Lepisosteus oculatus: one gene and its partners. The protein of the gene in region 2 purifies or fractionates together with the protein of the main gene of each other region. This does not show direct contact. Links are inferred from orthologs where the notes say so. Each region holds a gene or a part of one and is shown on either strand. Other genes may lie near its edges.

The links. The genes of interacting proteins can lie anywhere in the genome.
Region 1: the proteins of stx5a (region 2) and bet1 purify together in Homo sapiens (affinity purification with mass spectrometry; 3 studies listed by BioGRID and IntAct, with this or other methods). This does not show direct contact. The link is inferred for Lepisosteus oculatus from reciprocal best matches to the Homo sapiens genes STX5 and BET1.
Region 3: the proteins of stx5a (region 2) and ykt6 purify together in Homo sapiens (affinity purification with mass spectrometry; 3 studies listed by BioGRID and IntAct, with this or other methods). This does not show direct contact. The link is inferred for Lepisosteus oculatus from reciprocal best matches to the Homo sapiens genes STX5 and YKT6.

The regions. Positions count from the first base shown.
Region 1 is NC_090705.1:4,535,759-4,542,811, forward strand, and holds the start of bet1 (BET1 homolog), read left to right. Parts: upstream 1-3,945; 5' UTR 3,946-4,106; coding exon 4,107-4,125; intron 4,126-6,094; coding exon 6,095-6,204; intron 6,205-7,053. UniProt on the Homo sapiens protein: Required for vesicular transport from the ER to the Golgi complex. Functions as a SNARE involved in the docking process of ER-derived vesicles with the cis-Golgi membrane.
Region 2 is NC_090713.1:23,128,014-23,135,509, forward strand, and holds the start of stx5a (syntaxin-5a), read right to left. Parts: upstream 3,060-7,496; 5' UTR 2,972-3,059; exon of another isoform or gene 2,937-2,971; intron 2,348-2,936; 5' UTR 2,250-2,347; intron 1,485-2,249; 5' UTR 1,466-1,484; coding exon 1,271-1,465; intron 1,045-1,270; coding exon 974-1,044; intron 800-973; coding exon 744-799; intron 652-743; coding exon 581-651; intron 47-580; coding exon 1-46. Other genes in the region: vegfba (vascular endothelial growth factor A), read right to left, coding at 7,027-7,048. UniProt on the Homo sapiens protein: Mediates endoplasmic reticulum to Golgi transport.
Region 3 is NC_090697.1:70,414,260-70,421,286, forward strand, and holds the start of ykt6 (synaptobrevin homolog YKT6), read right to left. Parts: upstream 3,109-7,027; 5' UTR 2,867-3,108; intron 1,865-2,866; 5' UTR 1,825-1,864; coding exon 1,721-1,824; intron 1-1,720. UniProt on the Homo sapiens protein: Vesicular soluble NSF attachment protein receptor (v-SNARE) mediating vesicle docking and fusion to a specific acceptor cellular compartment. Functions in endoplasmic reticulum to Golgi transport; as part of a SNARE complex composed of GOSR1, GOSR2 and STX5.

The DNA.
Region 1 (7,053 bases), on a different chromosome or scaffold from region 2:
TTAAGGCAATCTCAACAGTGAGCGAGGAGTGAACGGAGGAAGCGGGGAGTGAAGTGCTAATTGCTAATAGCGGCACAGGTGTGTGCGCCGGGAGGGGCACGCGGGAGTAAGATTCGTGACAGTAGGGACAGAGGCCAGGCGCTCCGAGCCCCGGACTCAGACGGTCAGGAGGCCGTGATGAAGCCTGTGCCGTCGGGTCTCTCCTGGACCCGCTGGTAGGCGGGCTTCTGGGCATCCATCTCCCAGTGCTGAGCCAGGAATAGCAAGAGCACCAGGCTGAAATAGTAGGACAAAGCAAGAGGCAGGTGCTCATAATCAACTAAAATACAAAAGGGTCGGAGTGTCCTTTAAGAGGAGGGATGCTGTTCGTGACAGAACATGTATGTACTGTAAATCTGCAATGGAGGCAAAACTTAACATTCCTCAGGAAACAGTGGGCAAATCAGGTACTTGGAAATATGGTAACTATTTTGGTAACACATAAACGGAGATGACTATAAGGATAATACACTCCATTTTCTGTGCTCATGATGCCTGGTTCCCAGAAAGTCTTCCAGTTTCTAAGAATAATGAAGTGGATTGACCTTATGTTTCATTGACTTTTCTGTAACTACCCTATGGGAACATCAGCTATGTAAATAAAAACCCTCAGAAACTCCTGGAAAAAGGACCTGCACTGTGTATGTATGTATGGATGCTTGTACAGTATGTTTGATTAATATCTGATTAATTAAAATGTGTGATCCTTGAGACCTACAGTAGATAGTGTGTCAAAAATGAATGACTGCTAATCCTACAGAATCATGATGCAGATAAAAAATGGTTAAGAAGGTATAAGGGGAAATAGCATAAACATTTTATTCAAACGTCTCTCAATGGTATTAACAGCATGCTTTCTTCTTTGCCTTCAAAGCACTTTTATCATTAGCACACACTCCTCTATAGGAAGACCACCAATGGAGAAGACAGGCAGCTACATGTATCAGACCCTAAAGACAATGATTAATCACAGCAAGACACTGCTCTTTCCCCATCTCTTATAATAGGTCTGAATAATTATAATAGGCTTGAGTAATTGCTTTGTTGCTGTTGTTTTTACATCTTATCCAAGGTGGATCCTCTGCTGTTACCATTTTGCTGTACCTTAAATATCATAAAGGACATTTTGCAAGTTAATATTTTGCAGCATTAAGTTGCTTTTAGCACATACTGTCTGTCATAACAGGCAAATACTAAGTACAGTGATGTGCTGCTAAAGCAGAGTCTAATGTGTTTTTTGATGTGAAATACACTGAAAGGCTTTTTCGCTTTGGTAATTGGTGAAAAGCAATGAACTTTTCATGCACACATGACTCACCTATGATAATATCGAAATAGCTCTCCGGAATAAAGAAAACTTCCACACCAAAGAGCAGGAAAATATTTCTAAACACTTACAGTATGTAACAGTTGTAATGATATTTTCTTTTCCATTATCATTATTCCTCACTTTTGTCAGCTCTGGTGTTCAATTGTTTCTTTAGAAGAAGAAAAGTCTGTTGGCTTAGATCAAGCATCGAAGAATTCAAACAAAAGAGAACATTTTCAAGGACTATTTCAAGCATTAAAAAAATGTTTTCATTCTCATTGAAAAGACCTTAACACGAATATCACTAAGGGCTCTAAAGAAACTCTATGATTGTACGCCAAGATTGGTGTGATAAAAATGACCAGATGATTAAATGTTTAAAGTTGATTAATAATACAATATTAACATATATATGGCGCATTAGCTCAAACAAATGTGCATTTATGGTTATATATTTAGATATAAATATAAAGTAATGTTTTTGAACTCTTTTCTGCTGGTGCTCATTCCAGCTGAACTCTACATTTCCAGTGCTAATGTCACAAGATGTTGGCCGTTGAAGCAGTAACAGGTTGTGATGAATCGCGTTGTGTTGATGGCCAGGATTGTGTCAATGTGACAGTGGAGCAGGGAACAATTAGTAACAATGGTCATACCCAAGTCATCCAGGAAGCAATTAGGTACTGACGCATGGAGGTGTGAGGCTGAGCCAGTTCGTCAGACCTTGGGCAGGGGAGTGGAGCAGGAAAGCACACAAAGAAATGAGAAGTGCCCATGACACCTAGGACTTCCCGTTCTCAAACGACCTGAGCTTCCTCCTGATAATGTTCTGGGTGCACCCGCCACTGACAGAGACAATAGGAAAACCACTTGGGGGGATGGCTTATGGGAGGGATAAAAAGATCTGAGCCTCAACAGAGGAGTCTCTTCTCCAGGGTAGCCCCTCGACACGAGACAGGCAGTGCAAGGAAACCCGCAACCTGCGAGTCCACAGAGGAGATTCTCCCTGGAGTTGCAGATCATGGGAGAAGGATGCAGAGGAACGGAGGTACTGCACAGAGACATCTAATACTTGGAGGAAAGAAGCAAAGAAACCGGCCTGGTGAGTCGATACTGACCCAAGGGGAGAGTAGTGCACTCTAAAGGAGGACTCCCGATATAGTCCAAACGGAGACCGGGGAAATTGGACTGTGCGGCATCACTTTTCTATACATTGCTGTCCTTCTCTGTAACACCAAGACTTTCCAACGCCCTCTCCTCATCACCTGCAAGGACAGCTGACCCCCAGGAATTCATTAGGACTCTTGAAAGAACCTGTCCTTGCTGATAGTTAATGTTACTGTACATAATTTATTAAAAAGGGTACTTATACGATACTAATGCTTATCGCTGGTCTGTGTGTGCATTGGTGATTCTGGGAGATAATCAGAACGTGTGGTAATGTAGAGGGTTTTTTGGAGAAATCATTGAGAAGCTGTTATTTGACTTCATGACACCCATGATTAACTTATTCAACTTTCACAGACGGGTCTTATATTTAATATACTGTATAAACATAAGTTCTCACCACATACATACTATATAAACTATAAATACTATATAACAAAGGTATTAAGTACAAAACAAAAAGTCTTGCAGGTAACCCTAACTCTGTCAGTATAGACCTGACATCTACAGTTACTTTGTTCTTGAATGGTGTGAAAATAAAAGATAAAAATGCAATTTTAAAAACCACATAAGGAATTTGTTTAAACTCTGCTTCATTTCTATCTGTATATCCTTCTAGAATTTAATATTTGTAAATACTAACTGAAAATTATTTTGGACAACTCCTGACAGATACTGCCTTACAAAAAACATTTACAACTGTTCATAGGCTTTAAAATGTTAAACTAAGACTTTCTAGATTCAGACTTTTCAACAAGATTCAACAAGATGATTTGTGTATTTTAAGCCTGGGGAAAAAAAAAACTCGGACACATGTGTTACTTGTTTTGGACAGACTTGCAGAACTTTAATAATACGCATTAAAAAGGCAGACTTAAAAAGTTTCATATAAACTTTACGCTTTGAGCCATGTAATATGGAAGAATAGTTATAATTTGACATAATATTCACAAATAAAAAAATTGGATGAAAATGTTTCATTTGTTGAGTTCTATTTTTTAATTCTCTCTAGCAGTATACTGTTTTGTGATTTTTTTTTATTGTTCACTTAGCTTTTCGGATACTTTTTATTCCTTAGATGTATCATTTGATGTACAATATTAAAAAGGCAGTTGAAGCATGAGCCTCTTCCGCTTGCATTGCGTTTGCTTCAGCACTTTCAGGTTGCAGTGAGACTTTGCTATGCATTCTGGGCGATGTAGTCTTTTTTTTTGCTACTCAACTTGTCTAAGTAATTTAAAGAACTCAGTAATAGCCAAATAAATAATCATGCCTCCTGTTGAATTTGAATCATATGCCTGAATGTACCGGACATGATGTTGTGAGAGTGGTCACAGACAAGCGCAGGGAGAGCCGGTGTGAATTATTCTTTAGTCAACCGCATGCACTCCATTACCCACAAACCAAGATGTTCTGCCGTGTTCCGGGTTGTTGTTGTCGTGAAGTTTCATTTTTTTTTTCGATAGCTGCTGTTCATACACGTTGGCAAAGCAGAAATCGGTTTCGGGAATTGTAACTTCGGTAAATTATTGTTACCGAGAAAATAAGTGTTGGCAACAAACGTTGTCTGAAAGGAGTCTAAGGGATCAAAATGAGGCGAGCGGGTTTGGGTAAGAGGAGCTGTATCCACTCTTGTTTCTGAAAATGGTTTACTGAATTGTACCATGAACTCGAAATAAAATTTAAGGGGACTCGTTGGTTATTAAAATTTATAAACGATATATTGATTATTTCTAAAGTAAATAGAGGATTTTATTATACAGGGTGAAAAGGTTTGTCCATTACTAAATGTATTAATTAATTTAAGACGCAGTCTGAACAATAATTCCTGAAATCCCCGTAGTTTGAACTCTTCATACCCTGCGCCCTAAACGAGTGAAATGTCTCGAAATCCGAGCTGTTATTTCCCATGAATGGGAGACGGTTCAATCAATTTTACAAGTATATCACAGTCTTAGGATGTTTTTTTTTATCATTTCTCACTAGGGAAACAGCTCATTAAATACAGTCGAGATTGAAAGTTGATTTAAAACGTATTCGTTGATTTAAAACAAGAATCTCGATGTACATCAGTTTTTTTTCTGTAGAACCTGGTTTTATACTCTATATGACTAGACTGTTTAGACAAATTGTTTTCAAGTTCTAATACCTGTCATTTTGCTTGATAATTCATTCATCAATTACATGGGTACTATGGTTAGTTGCAATATTTTAAAGTGAAGTTAGACAAGTGAAGTTAGTGCAAAAGTTGGACCTTCTTAGTTTAACACTTCATCGAGCAAACGTCATTGTTGATAAGATCGGATATACATTGTATATACAAGAACAGTTAAATGTTATTGAATCAGGGCTGGGGTGATCCCAAGAATGTTATTTTTTTATAACATTTATTTTTTTTTAGAAATTTAGAATCACCAGTTTTATGTGTTAGTCCCACCCAGTTTAGAACAGCAAAGTTATGGTTTTTCACAAGTTGTTTCATAACTCCTCCTTCCAGTCAGTCATTTCTTGACACATCACAGACAACCCCACTCTGTGCCACAGGTTCAGTGCTGGTTGGTGGAGAGGCCCATCCTTCACCCTCAGCACTGCAAGCTTGCAAACACTCCAGAAGACTACAGGGGGCGCTGTGTCACTGACTACACCCACTCTACCCTCGCCCATTTCCAGTGCCGCTGACTGGGGAAATTTGTGTCACAGTCAGCTGCTGACATGGCCCATGCTTGAACCCATGATCACAGAGCTCTACCTGCAAGGAACTTGACCATTTCAGCCTTTTGGATTAAAGGATTTGCAAGCCTGTTTCATTTAATATCACTTTATTGGCCATATACAATTTCTTGCATTAGGAATGATCTTTTCGCATGCCACAGCTTGCTCTCCATGAGACACACAGACAGGGAGAGAGAAGCTGGGGGTCAGAGCGCAGGGTCTGCCATTGTATGGCACCCCTGGAGCAGTTGGGGTTAAGGGTCTTGCTCAGGGGCCCAACAGAGTAGGATTCCTCTGCCGGCTGCGGGATTTGAACTGGCAACCTTCCAACCGCAGGCACAGATCCTGAGCCACAGAGACACTGCTCCGCCCACTCATTTAAAGAGTAGTCTGGGGCTCATCATCCCTGGTCAAAGATAAGGAAGGATTGGTGATGGTGACCTGTCAGATTTTACTGGGCACACCCTTAGTTGGCTTTCTAAGCCACATGGTTTAATCATTTTCTTTTTTAACCTGTTTGCAAGTCTGTGAAGATCAATTTATTTTGCCAAAAAAAGAGTGTAGTTTTTAAGTATTGTATTAATCATATACTGCAGACATGTTTTCCTTGTCGCCGTCCTTTCATTTATGTAAAATAATGGGAATTTCCCTTTATGGCCACAGTAATTGTAATTAAACAGTTAGTGAAAGCAAGTACTTCGAAATGGAGATGTAGGGAACAATACAGCCGACATGATTGTATAAACCTGTACTGTATATCTAATGTTGTGGAAAATTCAAAGTTTAATTGTATTGCTCACAACATTGTAATGAACCAGTCATGATATTTTTATTTTATCTTTGGATGTTATCACCTTCTTTTAACAGGTGATGGAGCACCCACAGGAAATTATGTAGCAAGTGGATACAGTGTTCATGAAGAAGAAAATGAAAATTTATCCGAAGGTTTAAGAGCTAAAGTCAGTGCTTTAAAACATGTAAGTACAGTTCACTGACCTTCCAGTTTTGGAAAGTGGAGGTGTCCTTGTTTATTTTGGGGGGCTGCAATGATGGATCAATTCTGACCTTCAAAGGTTCAGAACACATTGCTGAATAAAGCTTTTGATAGTTGTATTTCATATGATTTACTAATGATGTCAAATTGTGTAAGTTTATCTTTTGGAAAATCCTTGTTTTATATGTAATCCATACAAATGTAACATCCCTGTGCATTTTAAAGAGAACAGTTCATTGCTATAAAAAAGGGTTCTGTTTCTGTACATATATTTGAAAAATATACTTGTTTTGTATACAACTATATATATTTTTTCACCTAAAAGCACAGAAATTGTGTAATTCATTTGTCGTAAGTATGTGTCCATTAGGTTTTTATGTACTGACAACTACTACTGATAAAACAGGGCTGCTTTGTTGTAATGCAGTTGTTGGAGTCTGTTTTGTATTCGACATTATATAGTTTTTTGGCATCCTTACTTTTGAAGTGATTTACAGTGGCCATAAGCTAAACAAGCCCCTTTTCTATAACAGAAGCCACTATTTCACTATTTAAAGTTTATACCACTCTTTCATACAAACAATTGTATTCGAAGGCCACAAACAATTATTATTATCATCATCTTCAGGAGCCCAATTCTGAGTCAGTTTTACCAAGAAAATGTCTCCGTTTTTCTTTGTCTGTTAGCTATCCTAGCAAAATAGGTGCTGCACTGTGTAATTTTTGAAACAGCACCCTTGATTCAGCAGGCTGAGTGAATAAGGGTTTCAGAGATTTGTGTGGCGTGTTAGAGTCAAAAAACATTATGTCGGAAATGGGAGCCATAGCCTTT
Region 2 (7,496 bases):
CCAGGTCCTGCAGCTGGGCAATCTGCTTGTTCAGGCTGTTGATGTCCTGCACAAGGAAACAGAGACCATGACAGTCAGCTCCGAGCCCATTCCAGACACGGTATCCCCCGGCCCAGTCAGCTCCGAGCCCATTCCAGACACGGTATCCCCCGGCCCAGTCAGCTCCGAGCCCATTCCAGACACCGTCTCCCCCGACCCAGTCAGCTCCGAGCCCATTCCAGACACCGTATCCCCCGGCCCAGTCAGCTCCGAGCCCATTCCAGACACGGTCTCCCCCGACCCAGTCAGCTCCGAGCCCATTCCAGACACGGTCTCCCCCGGCCCAGTCAGCTCCGAGCCCATTCCAGACACGGTCTCCCCCGGCCCAGTCAGCTCCGAGCCCATTCCAGACACGGTCTCCCCCGGCCCAGTCAGCTCCGAGCCCATTCCAGACACCGTATCCCCCGACCCAGTCAGATCCGAGCCCATTCCAGACACCGTCTCCCCCGACCCAGTCAGCTCCGAGCCCATTCCAGACACGGTATCCCCCGACCCAGTCAGCTCCGAGCTCAGTAAGTAATACATCTGCTCAGCCACTTGCCTGCTTGATGATGTAGGTGAGCTCCTCGATCTCCACGGCCTTGTCATCGAACAGCGACTTCCTCTTGGCAACTGCAAAACCCCAGAGACGCGTCACATGACCGGCACGCACCACCGCCCTCGCAAGCTCACCCACCACAGCACAGCGGGGAAAGTGTGCTTACGTATCGTCAGTTTCTCCAGTTTGGCAAAAGTGTTGCTCAAGTCCTTCCCAATCCTCCTGTGGGCGAGAGACAAAGAACAGGGAGCAGAGGTCAGCGGTCAGCGGTCAGCCCCGCGTGTCCAGCCTGTCACTGACGCCTGGGTTTACAGTGTCCGGATGGCCGAGATCCGCGTGACAAGGTGGAGACGCGTGAAAGGCGGCGGTCAGCGAGCTGGAGAGCAGGGGACTCACTTGGCCATGATGGTGAAGTCGCTGCGTTGCTTGACCGCGCTGAGAGCCGGCTTGTGGACCTGGACTCCATTCTGGCAGAGCAGAGACACAGAATGAGCCTCCTCTTCCTCCTCCTCCTCCTCCTCCTCCTCCTCTCCCTCACCCCACTGATCAACCCTCTATACCTCTCCTATTGCCCTCTCTCCCTCCTCCATCCTCCCCCTCAACCCTCACATCTTCAGCCCTTCCTCTCCCTCCCCCGCCTCCCTCCTCCTCTTCTCTCCTGTCTCCCCCACCTCCCTCTCCTCTCCCCAGTACCTGTCTGCCCTGCAGCGACTTGCAGGCGGAGAGGAACTCCTGGGTGCGGTCCCGGCCGGACATGGCGTTGTCGGTGGCGACGGGGAGGGGGGGGGGCCCGGCAGGGGGGGGGCAGTCCTGCGCTTGCGTCTGGGAGGGTCCGAGATACACGCCCTGCTCTGTGCTTCTAGAACCGTGACGGCGTCTCGTATACATTGAGGCTCCGAAGCATCACCTGCCGGACAGGAGGACAACCGGGGGTCAGTGGACTGGACAGGACTGGACAGGCCCCACACCCCGCGCCGGACAGCGGGACCGGTCCCCTCTGCGCTGGGAGGAGGCTGGCGCCAGCAGCCTCTACCTCAACCCTGCTGCAGCAACACAGGAACAGTCCCCAACAAGACTGAAGGACACCTGGACAGACACAAGCCCTCCCACTATAACTAGAACTCTGTTCTACTGGACCGGGACTGGAGCCCCCAGTGTAACAGGACTGTCCTACTGGACTGGAGCCCCCAGTGTAACGGACTGTCCTACTGGACTGGAGCCCCCAGTGTAACAGACTGTCCTACTGGACTGGAGCCCCCAGTGTAACAGGACTGTCCTACTGGACTGGAGCCCCCAGTGTAACAGGACTGTCCTACTGGACTGGAGCCCCCAGTGTAACAGGACTGTCCTACTGGACTGGAGCCCCCAGTGTAACAGGACTGTCCTACTGGACTGGAGCCCCCAGTGTAACAGGACTGTCCTACTGGACTGGAGCCCCCAGTGTAACAGACTGTCCTACTGGACTGGAGCCCCCAGTGTAACAGACTGTCCTACTGGACTGGAGCCCCAGTGTACCAGACTGTCCTACTGGACTGGAGCCCCAGTGTACCAGACTGTCCTACTGGACTGTATGAACCAGTTGCTGAACAGCTGTTTTGCTGAAATAAATAAAATAAGCATTTTTAAATAAAAAGGTTTAAGAGAATAAAGTGTACAAAGAATCACAATTGACCTTTCTGTGTTATCGGCTCGATAAGCGTTAAGATTTAGATTTCACCGAGCTGGGGGGTTGTTATCTTGTCTCAGGACCGACTCCAAAATTTTCGGTTTCTGTTGAAATGAGAGGATAGACTCAGTCAGCACAACCAGCGCCCCGCCTCTTCCCACGGCGGATTGGCCCACCAACACGCTCATCACCGCCCCCTGTGGACAACGCTCTACGCTATTGGTTCAGCGAACGGGCCACTACCCCCTCGCAATCACGCCGGGACCCCTATTGGCTGTCCCCGCTGCCACTCCCCGCCGACCAGCTGTAACCTCAGCGAGCGGCGGTTGGCAGCGACTCGCGTCAATCAAACTACCCGGGGGCCCTCATTGGCCGCCTGAGACGTCAACAACAACTTCAGATGTCTCCGACAGCAGCTTCAAGCGGTCTTTAAGGCTACTATTAAAATAAAACCCCACACCACACACTCCAATCTGCACTGAAACAGGTCGCGCATTATAACCGAGAAAACTCCAGCCCCCCCGAACCGCCGACAGTGACGGACAGAGCAACTGCGGGTCACTTTCAGACTGTTAAAAGCCCCATCTACCCTTCCCGGATAAATAACTCGACATTTTAAAAACACAAAGGAACGGGTGTCGGGGAAACCCGACCTCCCCCGGCACCCGTGCCCCCAGCTGGGGAGGTGCGCACCGGCGGTTCGCCACAGGCCTCCTCTCTCTCCTCACCGGTATGTCCGCGTCTCTCTCCGGTTCCGCCGCCGCGCCGCTCCGTCTCCCTCCGCCGCTGCGTTTCAATCCGGGTCACTCCCCGGCCGCTGACGTCACAGCGCCACGTCTACCAGCGGGCGTGCCCCTCCTCCCGGCCTGACGTCATCGCGCCGGGGGGCGCGGCCAGGACAGGTGCGGCGTCACGGTTCCTGTTTCTCTCTTAGAGCAGAATTAGACCATTCACTTTCGTGGATTGAGTGTGGAGACTGGTTTGGTTAACCTTGATGCTCGTAATAAAAACGGACTGAGCGAGAGGGTGCAGGTAGCCAGCACAATGACTGGTGCACAACAGCTACAACTGCCGGACATCACGCTCGATCACACAGTATGATCCCTGACTGCCATGATCACCCGTCGCACGGTGATCCGAGCTCTTCCATCTCCTTCCAAGACTCAGGAGCAGTAGGACTGAGTCGCCGTCCATTCCCCCAGCTCCTGGCCTGCTCAGAGTGGACAGCTGGCTGGATGTGTGCTCTATTTATATACAGTATCCGTGTTTGTTAAGGAGCTCGTGTTGTGTAGAATGTGTTGTGGCCTTTCCCTGCCTGCGGAGCCCCTGGACGAGAAGGCCGAGTGCAGTAGGAGGAAGGCGAAGGGTCGGTCCAGTCCAGTTTGTCGTTTGTGCAATGAGATGGTGTCAGTAAGCGCTGATGTGCAGAGAGACACTGGCTGGGGAGACAGGACCCTCAGACTCACCGGTGAAGGCACACACACAAACACACAAACACCACACAGACAACCAACGTGTAGTTTCTCGAAAGGTGTGAACAGACCTGCTCCGAAAGAATCCACTAGATGGCGCTGTCGGACTGCATTAGAAGAGGCTGCTCAGAGGATCAGGGAGGTCAGACAAGAGCCATCCGGTCTCTCTCCCTGTCCCTTCATCTGTCTGTCTCCCTGTCCCTCCATCTGTCTCTCTCCCTGTCCCTTTATCACACACCACACTGACACACACACCACACCTGTTGTGCAGATCGCCCCTGCAGACTGGAGTCCCCTCTGTCCCTGTGGCCAGGCTCCTCGGACAGCGCAGTGCTGGCGGCGAGCAGCAGGGGGCAGTGCAGACAGACCCGCGCCTGCAGTTACGGACTCTCAGCTTCCTCATCACCTCCAGCAGCTCGTGGACGAGGGGCGTGTCCCCACGAGGAGTCAGTGTCTCCTGTCCCGGGAGACACCCAGCTGTGTCCTCAAGGGGCGCTTATTGCCCTGCAGCAGGAGCAGGAGGGGAGCACATGACCCTTGACCTTTCACCTCCCTGCTCCAAGTTCATGTTAAATTAAAACACAACACGACCGCCGGACCCCCGTGTCTGACACTGGCTGAAAACCGCAGGGGAGGGAGTGAGAGAGACCTGGCCCTGCCCTCTGCCCTGTCTCCCCCTGCTGCTGCGGACCAGACTGTAACTCCTGGCTGCCTCTCCCCTCGTCAGGACTCTCGGCTCCCAGGACAGCGAGTCTGTAAATATTATTGTCTCCCAGCGGCAATCAGGCTCCCCCCACCGTCCAGCCCCCCCAACGCACTGTTTTTCTTTCATTAGTGCAGGAAGTGCTGAGGTTTCTGATTATGACAAACACACAGCTGTCTGCTGTCTGCTGTCTGCTGTCTGCTGCAGGGCTCAGGTGTCAGACCGGGAGGACAGCCGGTCCGGTGGTTCAGGTCCAGTCTTGTTAGATATTCTAACATTTAAAAAATGGATCAATATGCAAATAGAAGAAATTAATCCAGAAACAAGCCAAAATAAACGGGATAAAGTTGAAAGACCACTCGGAAACACCTCATTTAAAAAATAAGATTTCCTTTAATAGCTTATATGTGACATATATTGTTAACATTGTTGTAGTACTATCTTTAGCAGAATATATATATATACTTTCATCAATATTGAGAGCTTTACTACACACACAGCACAGAGAGACGCGTGGGAACTCACAGCTGGACAGGAGGCACAGCAACAGGCAGATACAGGCTGGGGCAAGTCTGAACTGTCACCGCAGGGGTCTGGAGTCAGGAGTCTGACCGATTACATGGCAAAAACCAGCAGTCTGATCCGCTCCAGGTGTGACAGTGCTGTCAGACTCCCAGTGTGCAGCAGTCTGATCCGCTCCAGGTGTGACAGTGCTGTCAGTCAGACTCCCAGTGCGCAGCAGTCTGATCCGCTCCAGGTGTGACAGTGCTGTCAGTCAGACTCCCAGTGCGCAGCAGTCTGATCCGCTCCAGGTGGGCAGGGGTGTCGTGTGTGTGTGTGTGTGTGTGTGTGTGTGTGTGTGTGTGTGTGTGTGTGTGTGTGTGTGTGCGCTGCTGGGAGAGACCGAGCCAGCACAGGGAACCAGAGCTGCTCTGGAGAAATCCCACTTCTCATCCCCAACTTTCCCTTCGGCCTGGTTGGCATCGTCACAGTTGCACAACAATTTTCCATAAATGAAGAGCTCATTCCGCTCTGTTCATGAAATCACTCTGGGGAGCACCGGCGCCCCCAGCATTGGGAAACAAGAACAAATAATAAGACAAATGTAGACAATTCTAATAGTATTAAGATACACATATTGCACTCAGTCCTAGTGTGACAGAACAGTTTCTTCTCTCCCTGTCTCCGAGATCAAGGTGACTCTGACACTGGACCGGCAATCTCTGGACTGCAGGGGTGCAGTGTGACCCAGACTGGACAGTGATCTCTGGACTGTAGGGGTACAGTGTGACCCAGACTGGACTGTAGGGGTACAGTGTGACCCAGACTGGACAGTGATCTCTGGACTGTAGGGGTACAGTGTGACCCAGACTGGACAGTGATCTCTGGACTGCAGGGGTACAGTGTGACCCAGACTGGACCAGTGATCTCTGGACTGCAGGGGTGCAGTGTGACCCAGACTGGACTGGTGGGGTACAGTGTGACCCAGACTGGACCGGCGATCTCTGGACTGTAGGGGTACAGGGTGACCCAGACTGGACTGTAGGGGTACAGTGTGACCCAGACTGGACCAGTGATCTCTGGACTGCAGGGGTGCAGTGTGACCCAGACTGGACTGTAGGGATACAGTGTGACCCAGACTGGACTGGTGATCTCTGGACTGTAGGGGTACAGGGTGACCCAGACTGGACTGTAGGGGTACAGTGTGACCCAGACTGGACCAGTGATCTCTGGACTGCAGGGGTGCAGTGTGACCCAGACCGGACTGTAGGGATACAGTGTGACCCAGAGTGGACCAGTGATCTCTGGACTGTAGGGGTACAGTGTGACCCAGACTGGACCACTGATCTCCAGACTGTAGGGGTACAGGGTGACCCAGACTGATAGATAAAACACGATAAGCCCAACATAGATTAAAATAAAACAAATAAGAAATAAATATGTCCATATTTTATTTTCACATAAATAAACGTTTCAGTGCATATTTCATGATAATAAGGACTTCTCTGCCTTCTTTACTGAGTGTATTTACATGTGCTGGCGTCACGTGAGCTGTACTTCTGCAGTCCGCAGGTCCGAGCCGGGCGGAGCCTGGGCATTGTGGAGCCCGTCTCCGAGACGGAGGGTCATCAGAAGGCACGTTAAGGAAGCAGCATGCCGAGCGCTGCCTGAGCTGCCCCCACTCGTTTTGGGGGCACCGCTGCCTGTCAGGGGGGATTGGACAGCCCTGCCCTCAGCGCAGGCGCGCAGGCATGAGGCTGGGCAGCTACAGTCTCCTCGAGGGCCAGATGAAGGCCAATCAGAGACACTGCAGTACAAAGACACTGATGATGATGGACACATTTATAGATAGATATACATACATATAGATTCATTTCCTTAGGAAAAAAAGAAGCGTATTTTTTGTTTGTTCTGTTCATTGACATCATTCAAATGTGTCTTTCCAGTCCTTAGCTGGTCTGAAGTGTGCGAGTGTGTGTTGTGTGTGTTGTGTGTTGTGGTGTCAGTCCCCTCCCTGGCTGTAGAAGCAGGGGGCTTGTTTCTCTGGTGTTGCTCCAGGAGGGGCCCCAGGACGGCCGTCCCGCAGCAGCAGCCCTGTCGCCGGGCATCACCGCCTCCGGGGCTCACATCTGGAACACAGACAGCACCTGGGCGTCAGGGCGACAGGCAGCAGGGAGAAGAAGTCCTGCCCCTGATCAGCAGGAGCACAGGGGTCTGAGGGGTCTGAGGGGGTCTGGAGGGGTCTGGAGGGGTCTGAGGGGGTCTGAGGGGGTCTGAGGGGGTCTGAGGGGGTCTGAGGGGTCTGGTGGAGTCTGGAGGGGTCTGGAGGGGTCTGAGGGGTCTGGGGGGGTCTGAGGGGTCTGGTGGAGTCTGGAGGGGTCTGAGGGGTCTGGAGGGGTCTGAGGGGGTCTGGAGGGGTCTGAGGGGTCTGGTGGAGTCTGGAGGAGTTTGGGGGGGTCTGGAGGGGTCTGGGGGGGGTCTGAGGGGTCTGAGGGGTCTGGAGGGGTCTGAGGGGGTCTGGAGGGGTCTGGAGGGGTCTGAGGGGTCTGAGGGGTCTGGGGGGGTCTGGAGGGGTCT
Region 3 (7,027 bases), on a different chromosome or scaffold from region 2:
CACACTTTTGCTCTCTGAAATCTGTTATGAGCCATTTAAAATAAAACAAACTTCCTTAAGCCATTTGTAAGTCAAGGACAGTTTCAGTATAACACTTGAAATAACTTGGTTATAACAATTACAAACAATTCTTAGAAATGTGTTACCCATTGCATAGGTATACAAAAAAATGATTTGATATGTTCTCCCAAAACCACATTCTTCCTAGAGTAATTCTCAAGATAGCACTTCTGCATGTGGCCTTTTTAAACTTTCCAATAAATGTGATTGTTTAAGATACATTTGCAAATCTGTGGTTGTGTACTGTTTTATCAGTAGTTCAAGTCATTAATCCCACAATCTTTGCTTTGCAAAGGTCATCTTTGAGAATTGCTGTTAAACTATAGCCATAAAATAAACTATTGCAAAATCAAATTCTAAACACCAAATAATAAATCAGAAAACGAAATATGAAGCAAAATCAGAAGGAAAGAAGGAAACTTATTTTGTTTACTTCGTGCTGACTAATTTAGGCTTCTGCTGACTGTCAGTACCCTTATGTTGTTCCCACATAATCTACAACACTATTAGCTTGGTTCTTCTCACCCACCAAATCCCTTTCAAGAATCAGTCACATTCAAGTTTAGCTCCGTTTCATGAAAATAAAACTAAAAATTATTTTTCTCTTCAGTCAGTAGTTTGTAACTTGTTATTGCTTAAGAAATTGAGAAAGTGTTTGCTAGCTGAAACGTAGATGCTAAATCACAACAGAACAACTATGAAATTAAGATTTCAGACTGTTGAGTATTTTACGCATCAAACCAAGCCAGGATTAACATACACACAGACACATAATTATCTCTAGGTTGTTCAGTATGAAAATGAACTCATGCCTTTCTTAGATATTTTTTACATATAGAAATCGCAGACTGCTCGAGTGTATGACTGTTTTTGTTGAGTGACAACACGTGTCTGCTAATGTGTGATGTGTGAAACAGCTGTTGAAGCTGAAGCTGTGGGATTCTCACTCAGCTTCGTTTCCATAGAAACCAAGCAATGAGTTGGATTAAGTGCAAAACCTTAACCCCTTAAGGGTTTTTTTTTATTCAATGCCCTACAGTGTCAGAAATTTCAAACCATACCCGCTGGTCCACATTTGCTGTACACAAATCTTTTGCTGCTACAACACAAATAAAGAATGTGATTAATCTTGCATTACATTCTGAATGGATATTATGTTTTTTTTCTGCCTTATTTCCTGTTCAATGCTAAACTGTGCAGTTACAAACAATATGTAGGAATGTCCTACCCATTACATAAGCATACAAAAAAACTGATTTCATATGTTCTCCCAGAATCACATTCTTCCTAGACTAATTCTCAAGATAGGATTTTTGCATGTGGCCTTTTTAAATTCACCAATAAAATTGATTGCTTAAGATAAAATTGCAAAACTATTGGGCTTGAACTCATTTAAAATTATTTTAATTGGAAGGGTCCAATTGCTTTAGACCCTTCAAGTGAAACCGTCGATTTCCCTGAACCAGGAATTACAAGAACCTGGCTCCAGAAGAGAAACTCACATTATATCTTGGCCTGTGACTCTCTGTCAGTTTACACTGACAACATGAGTGAGACAGAGGTCACATGGTTTGGAAGGACATATTCACAGTAACTGGACTGCCAATTTTTTCATTCAATCACTACAGCAAAACGCCGCTGGGAAAAGGCACGAACTTACCTGGACCTCTGGAAGAAGCTGAAGGAGGATAAATCATAGGCACCTTTGAGCAGGTTGGCTTTGGTTGCCCCTTTATAGAGGACACTCAGGCTGTAAAGCTTCATTATGACTCACACTTGGAATCACCTGGGCGTCCCAGAAGCTCTGAAACACACCGAGACACAGCAAACCAGTACAGAGCAGCACGTCTTCCCTCACTGACCAGTAATCCCCACCACCACCAGAAAGACTACGTTTCCTTCATCTGGAGAGCAACAGTCTATTTCAGCCAAGAAGACCAAACATAAAAGAGTCACAATACTCCCATAGATGTACATTCTTTTTAAATATATTGTAAACAATCATAGTAAAACAAAGTTGCAATGACACTAAAGAGGTGCTGCTTGTCGGCCACACCAGTGAAATATCAATGTCAATTTCATGGGAAGTTTTTTTCTTTGCTGCAAGGCACGCCATGAGCTGATTGGGAAAGTCCTTTCAGAAAAGCGAACTTCTTAATCCGAATGCACTGATACTGACCACTTATTTACCGTGAACTACGGTGTTGTGTTGTATTGAGAGTGGTATTCATCACTGCTTTTCACTGAAAGATGTAATCAATTTTTTTTACAATTATTGTTTTACCGGTGATGTCGCAGTCGGACTGTTACGCTTCCAGGCTGCTCACGAAACGTCACCTTTCCTGACTTAAAACAAGCGTATGAGATGCTGCAGGTATTTGCTCTTTGCACCAGCTGTCCTTGTGGTATTAAACGGCAAATGCAAAAGACAAAATAGCCACGGACTTTCTCACAAATAAAACGATTACGTCTCCCAACATTTTCCTGACCAATAACGTCCAATTTAAATTATCATTACATTACGTTAAATGGCAAAAGTTCAAGGATATGAAATGGGGCTGTTATTTCCGTGTTACCAGAGTCTCGTGTTTTAGATTTACTCTCAACAATACTTATTAACGGCATCGACTTACTACTGAACACACTCAGTTGGTCTTGATCAAGCGGCGATATAAGTATATATTCATAGGGAATACTTAATACTGCCACTATTTAATCATCTTATTGTCTCCGATTTAATCTCGGGCATCTGTTTCTCCCTATTAACACTACTGTTTTGGGGAAGGATTAGTTTAGTTCCTCTTACCAATTACTCTGTTGCTTCTCTTCAGACGATTAGAGACCACTCGTATTATAGCTCCAACAGCCACGTCAAGGCAGAAATGTGTCGATTCCTCTACTGAAGGTATGGAGGAAAAAGAAAAATAGCACTGAACGTAATGACGAATCCGAACTGTAAAGCTACCCTCCGAAAGGAGACTGAGATCCAGACAACACCGAAAGAAACTCCCTTTCTCTTTCTTCCCCCGAACCACGTCACTCAACTCCGGCGGAATTAGGTCCTACCTTCAAACACCCCCGGCGTGCAACACGAGCCTCTCATGATCCGTGCCTAGAGTTAAGTGGGTCTGCACCTCAGGGAAGACGCATCAATTTTCAGGACCCTTCGAAAATGAACGTTATGCTTTGCTTTTACAAAAGTAATTTCTTCTTATAATACCTAATATGTACATCTGAAAGAAATGATTTTACTTCAACGAGAACTGGCCTTGGGAATCGTATTTTCGTTTTGAATGTTGCAAAACACTGGATTTTATAGGGAGTTTTACAAATAAAGTATTCGCTTTGTTGCGCCTGTCCATCCATTATAAATTTCGACTTAAAATAAAGTCATACAAGCAATTCCGAATTAAACTCGTTGTAGAATATCGGAATGTATTATGATGTGAAATAATTCTGAAATTATAATTGGACTCGTTTGGAAAAATTGAATATTGACAATTAACCCTCTTTATTGAGAAAGCTTTGTAACACGCCTGTTGTCCTTTCATATTTGAGCTTTCCCTTTCTTAAAACAAAATAATAAAACAGAATGGCTTATTTTTCCAGTGCAAGCAAATACCGAGTGCTATGTCACTAGATGGCGCTGTATCGTAAAGAATCGTAAAGATTTGTGACACTTCTTAATTCGGCTCACCAGGGATAACAGGAAACATTGCAACATTTGTGAAAATCGAGAATATTTCCCAGATAGTTCAAACATGCACAACGTTTTTAAAGATTTGCAGAATATTTTTTTATTTACTAAGTCTATCTGAAAATGTACTTGTTTGATTTGATCAAACTCGAAAGACTGCAGTACGTTAATAACTCAATCACGTTTTCTGATCATAGTTTGATGTCAACAGCTTTAGCAGATTTTACCATAATGTCGGTGTCCTAGTGTGACCAAAGGTTGTTGTTTATCAATAGGTTCGTTCATACACGTTCCGATTCATTTTTAGTCAATAGATTAATATGTCAGAAAATCTGCTTGTGACTTTTAGAATTGAGAATGTGTTTAGTGAATTTTAATAGGCTTATGTTATGTATTATCCTAAATTAGGTTTCCTTGTTCATCCTCTGTAGAATATGGGGAAAACACGTGATATAAGCAGCAGGGTTTTTATGTAGAAGCGGGAGGATCTTAGAGTTGTTTTTAATAATAATAATAATAATAATAATTGCTTACACTTATATAGCGCTTTTCTGGACACTCCACTCAAAGCGCTTTACAGGTAATGGGGTCTCCCCTCCACCACCACCAATGTGCAGCATCCACCTGGATGATGCGACGGCAGCCATAGTGCGCCAGAACGCTCACCACACATCAGCTATCAGTGGGGAGGAGAGCAGAGTAATGTAGCCAATTCATAGAGGGGGATTATTAGGAGGCCATGATGGGGTAAAGGCCAGGGGGGAAATTTGGCCAGGACACCGGGGTTACACCCCTACTCTTTTCGAAAAGCGCCCTGGGATTTTTAATGACCACAGAGAGTCAGGACCTCGGTTTTACGTCTCATCCGAAGGACGGCGCCTGTTTACAGTATAGTGTCCCCGTCACTATACCGGGGCATTAGCACCCACATGGACCGCAGGGTGAGTGCCCCCTGCTGGCCCCACTAACACCTCTTCCAGCAGAAACCTTAGTTTTTCCCAGGAGGTCTCCCATCCAGGTACTGACCAGGCTCACACCTGCTTAGCTTCAGTGGGTTGCCAGTTGTGAGTTGCAGGGTGATATGGCTGCTGGATTTTTGATCTTATCTCCGAATTGCTCCGCTGATGACGAGTATTCAGGGTCTGGCCGTGTAGAAATCAACTTTTTGACAAAGCTGCAGTTCCTCCTCTCACTTCTCCCACCCAATCCCAGAGCCTAATACCTCTGCCAGCTTTTGCGATGCCCAAAATTGCCGGAGCGAAATGATCTCAGCCTTTCGCTGTATTGATCGCTCCGTGTCCTTTACTGATGAACAGTCAAGCTTGAGTGGGAGCCACGCAATTGAGGACTTTGCAGCTAAGCCAATGTTTTCCTAAGTAATTTTGCCCCATTTAACAATTTCCTACTGTCCACTCGCTTCATTGATAAGTGTTTTCCATACCAGAGGTGAGCATATATGGAGAGATTTCCAGGGCAACGGATTCAGAATGTTGTCGCCAAGGCAACGGGAAGGATGACTGCTCTGTAAAGCACCTGGTGGTTGTGGCAGCAATGGCAGTGCGAGTGCTTTTAGTAGAGACCAATAGGGTCGTTTTTTATTTCTCGATTGCCAGGGAAACAGAATGAAGAACCGGGGAAACGGGAGGGATGATGGATAACCGTGTCCTGTCTGCGCGCTTTCTGACCAATTAAAATCAAATCAATGCAAGTACGTCCCTCTTGGGACTTATAAAATTAGGGTGGAAATATATTGCTAATTTAAACAAGAAGAACTTAAAGATAGAGTAATATGCCACGTGAAAGGATTCTAAGAATTGTTAAATTGATCACCCGTGTTTAAAGCGCGCAACTATCACGGGACTAAAATGATCAATGCTCGCTTTCTTTTCGTTTAGATTTTTAATAATACATCTTAGTTCAATTTGATTTTTTTTAATATTTCCTTGAAAATCTTAGGGTGAAAATAAACGATGTCGAGTTGGAGTTGAATTGTTGGTGTTTTTGCACTCTGGAGAGAGATGCCAAGTTGTCTTGGTTAAATTAAAATTTTTTAAAAAAACTTTTTGAAATATTCTGCTACCACGATGAAGCCCAATGTCTCGACTGGCACGAGTATGGAATGCGATTAAAATGATCTTTGAGAGGCAACGGAAAGGATGACTTTTACTCAGACGACAACTTCCCGTCCCGTATTTAAGACACTGGGGTCTTGAATTTAAACTTGCGCTTTCAAGGTGTTGTAGAGCGCAGTTCTAATACTGTAGGAAACTTTTTGCTTTACAAAACACTAAGATGCTTACGCACCACATACAGTATAAAAGAACAGAAGTGCTTTGAACATGGACACTAAAACTAATCCTTAAAGAAAGGCTCACTTTTCTGAGAAGCTTGGAAGGGTACAAATTGGTGAAAGTACTTAGGGTTGGTGAACATGAATAAACACATGGATATTCCCGCTGTTGTACTGTATCACTTCCAACTCAGCGAAGCCTTATACAAAATGCAAGGTGAATTTGCCCATCTTGGCAGATAGACTAAGGAGGAAGGGTAGTTTTCGGAAGCAGGGATAAACAGGTAATCAACATTTTCTAAAAAAAACTGGGGGAAATGTAATAATAGACTATCGTGACAAACGGAAATTGGAGCTCTGATTAAACTCCATGTCCATATCCCTCCTTACAAAAACAGCTTTAATTATGAGCCTTTTGGTGTAGTTATTTTCGGGGAAGGTATCCATCTGTCAACGGCACCCAGCCTCATTGTTCACCCGGAGTGGTCGCCCGACTAGACGCAAGCGAGCCCCTGGACAGTAGCACTCATGACCGGTGGGGGAAGTACGATGGATCCTCATATTATGGAGAAGGTAAGATTAAATCAGTCTTCCCCTTGAATTGCTTGTTATTTCAAAATATTTAGCCTGATAACGGCGATTAACTGATACGCCCAATGAGAGGGTATATAAATCCCTGACGTCACCTTCCGAAGTTCCTATTTTGTAAAACAGCCCAAAACGTAATTACCTTCACTTAGTATATTTCTTAATTAACTTCAATTACCTTCACTTAGAGTGTTTCCTCATAACTGCTTAAGAGTACATTTATATATGTTTGTTTCCCGCTTTAAACTTTGTTGATCCTCAAAATGTGATTTTAATCATAAACCAACTTCTTGGGTTGTTCAGCAGCATTGTACCTTTGCTGGGTGAGAACAGGTTATCAGATTATGATCATGTCATCAGCAAATTTTATTGCTGTAGTTATTTGTGAATAA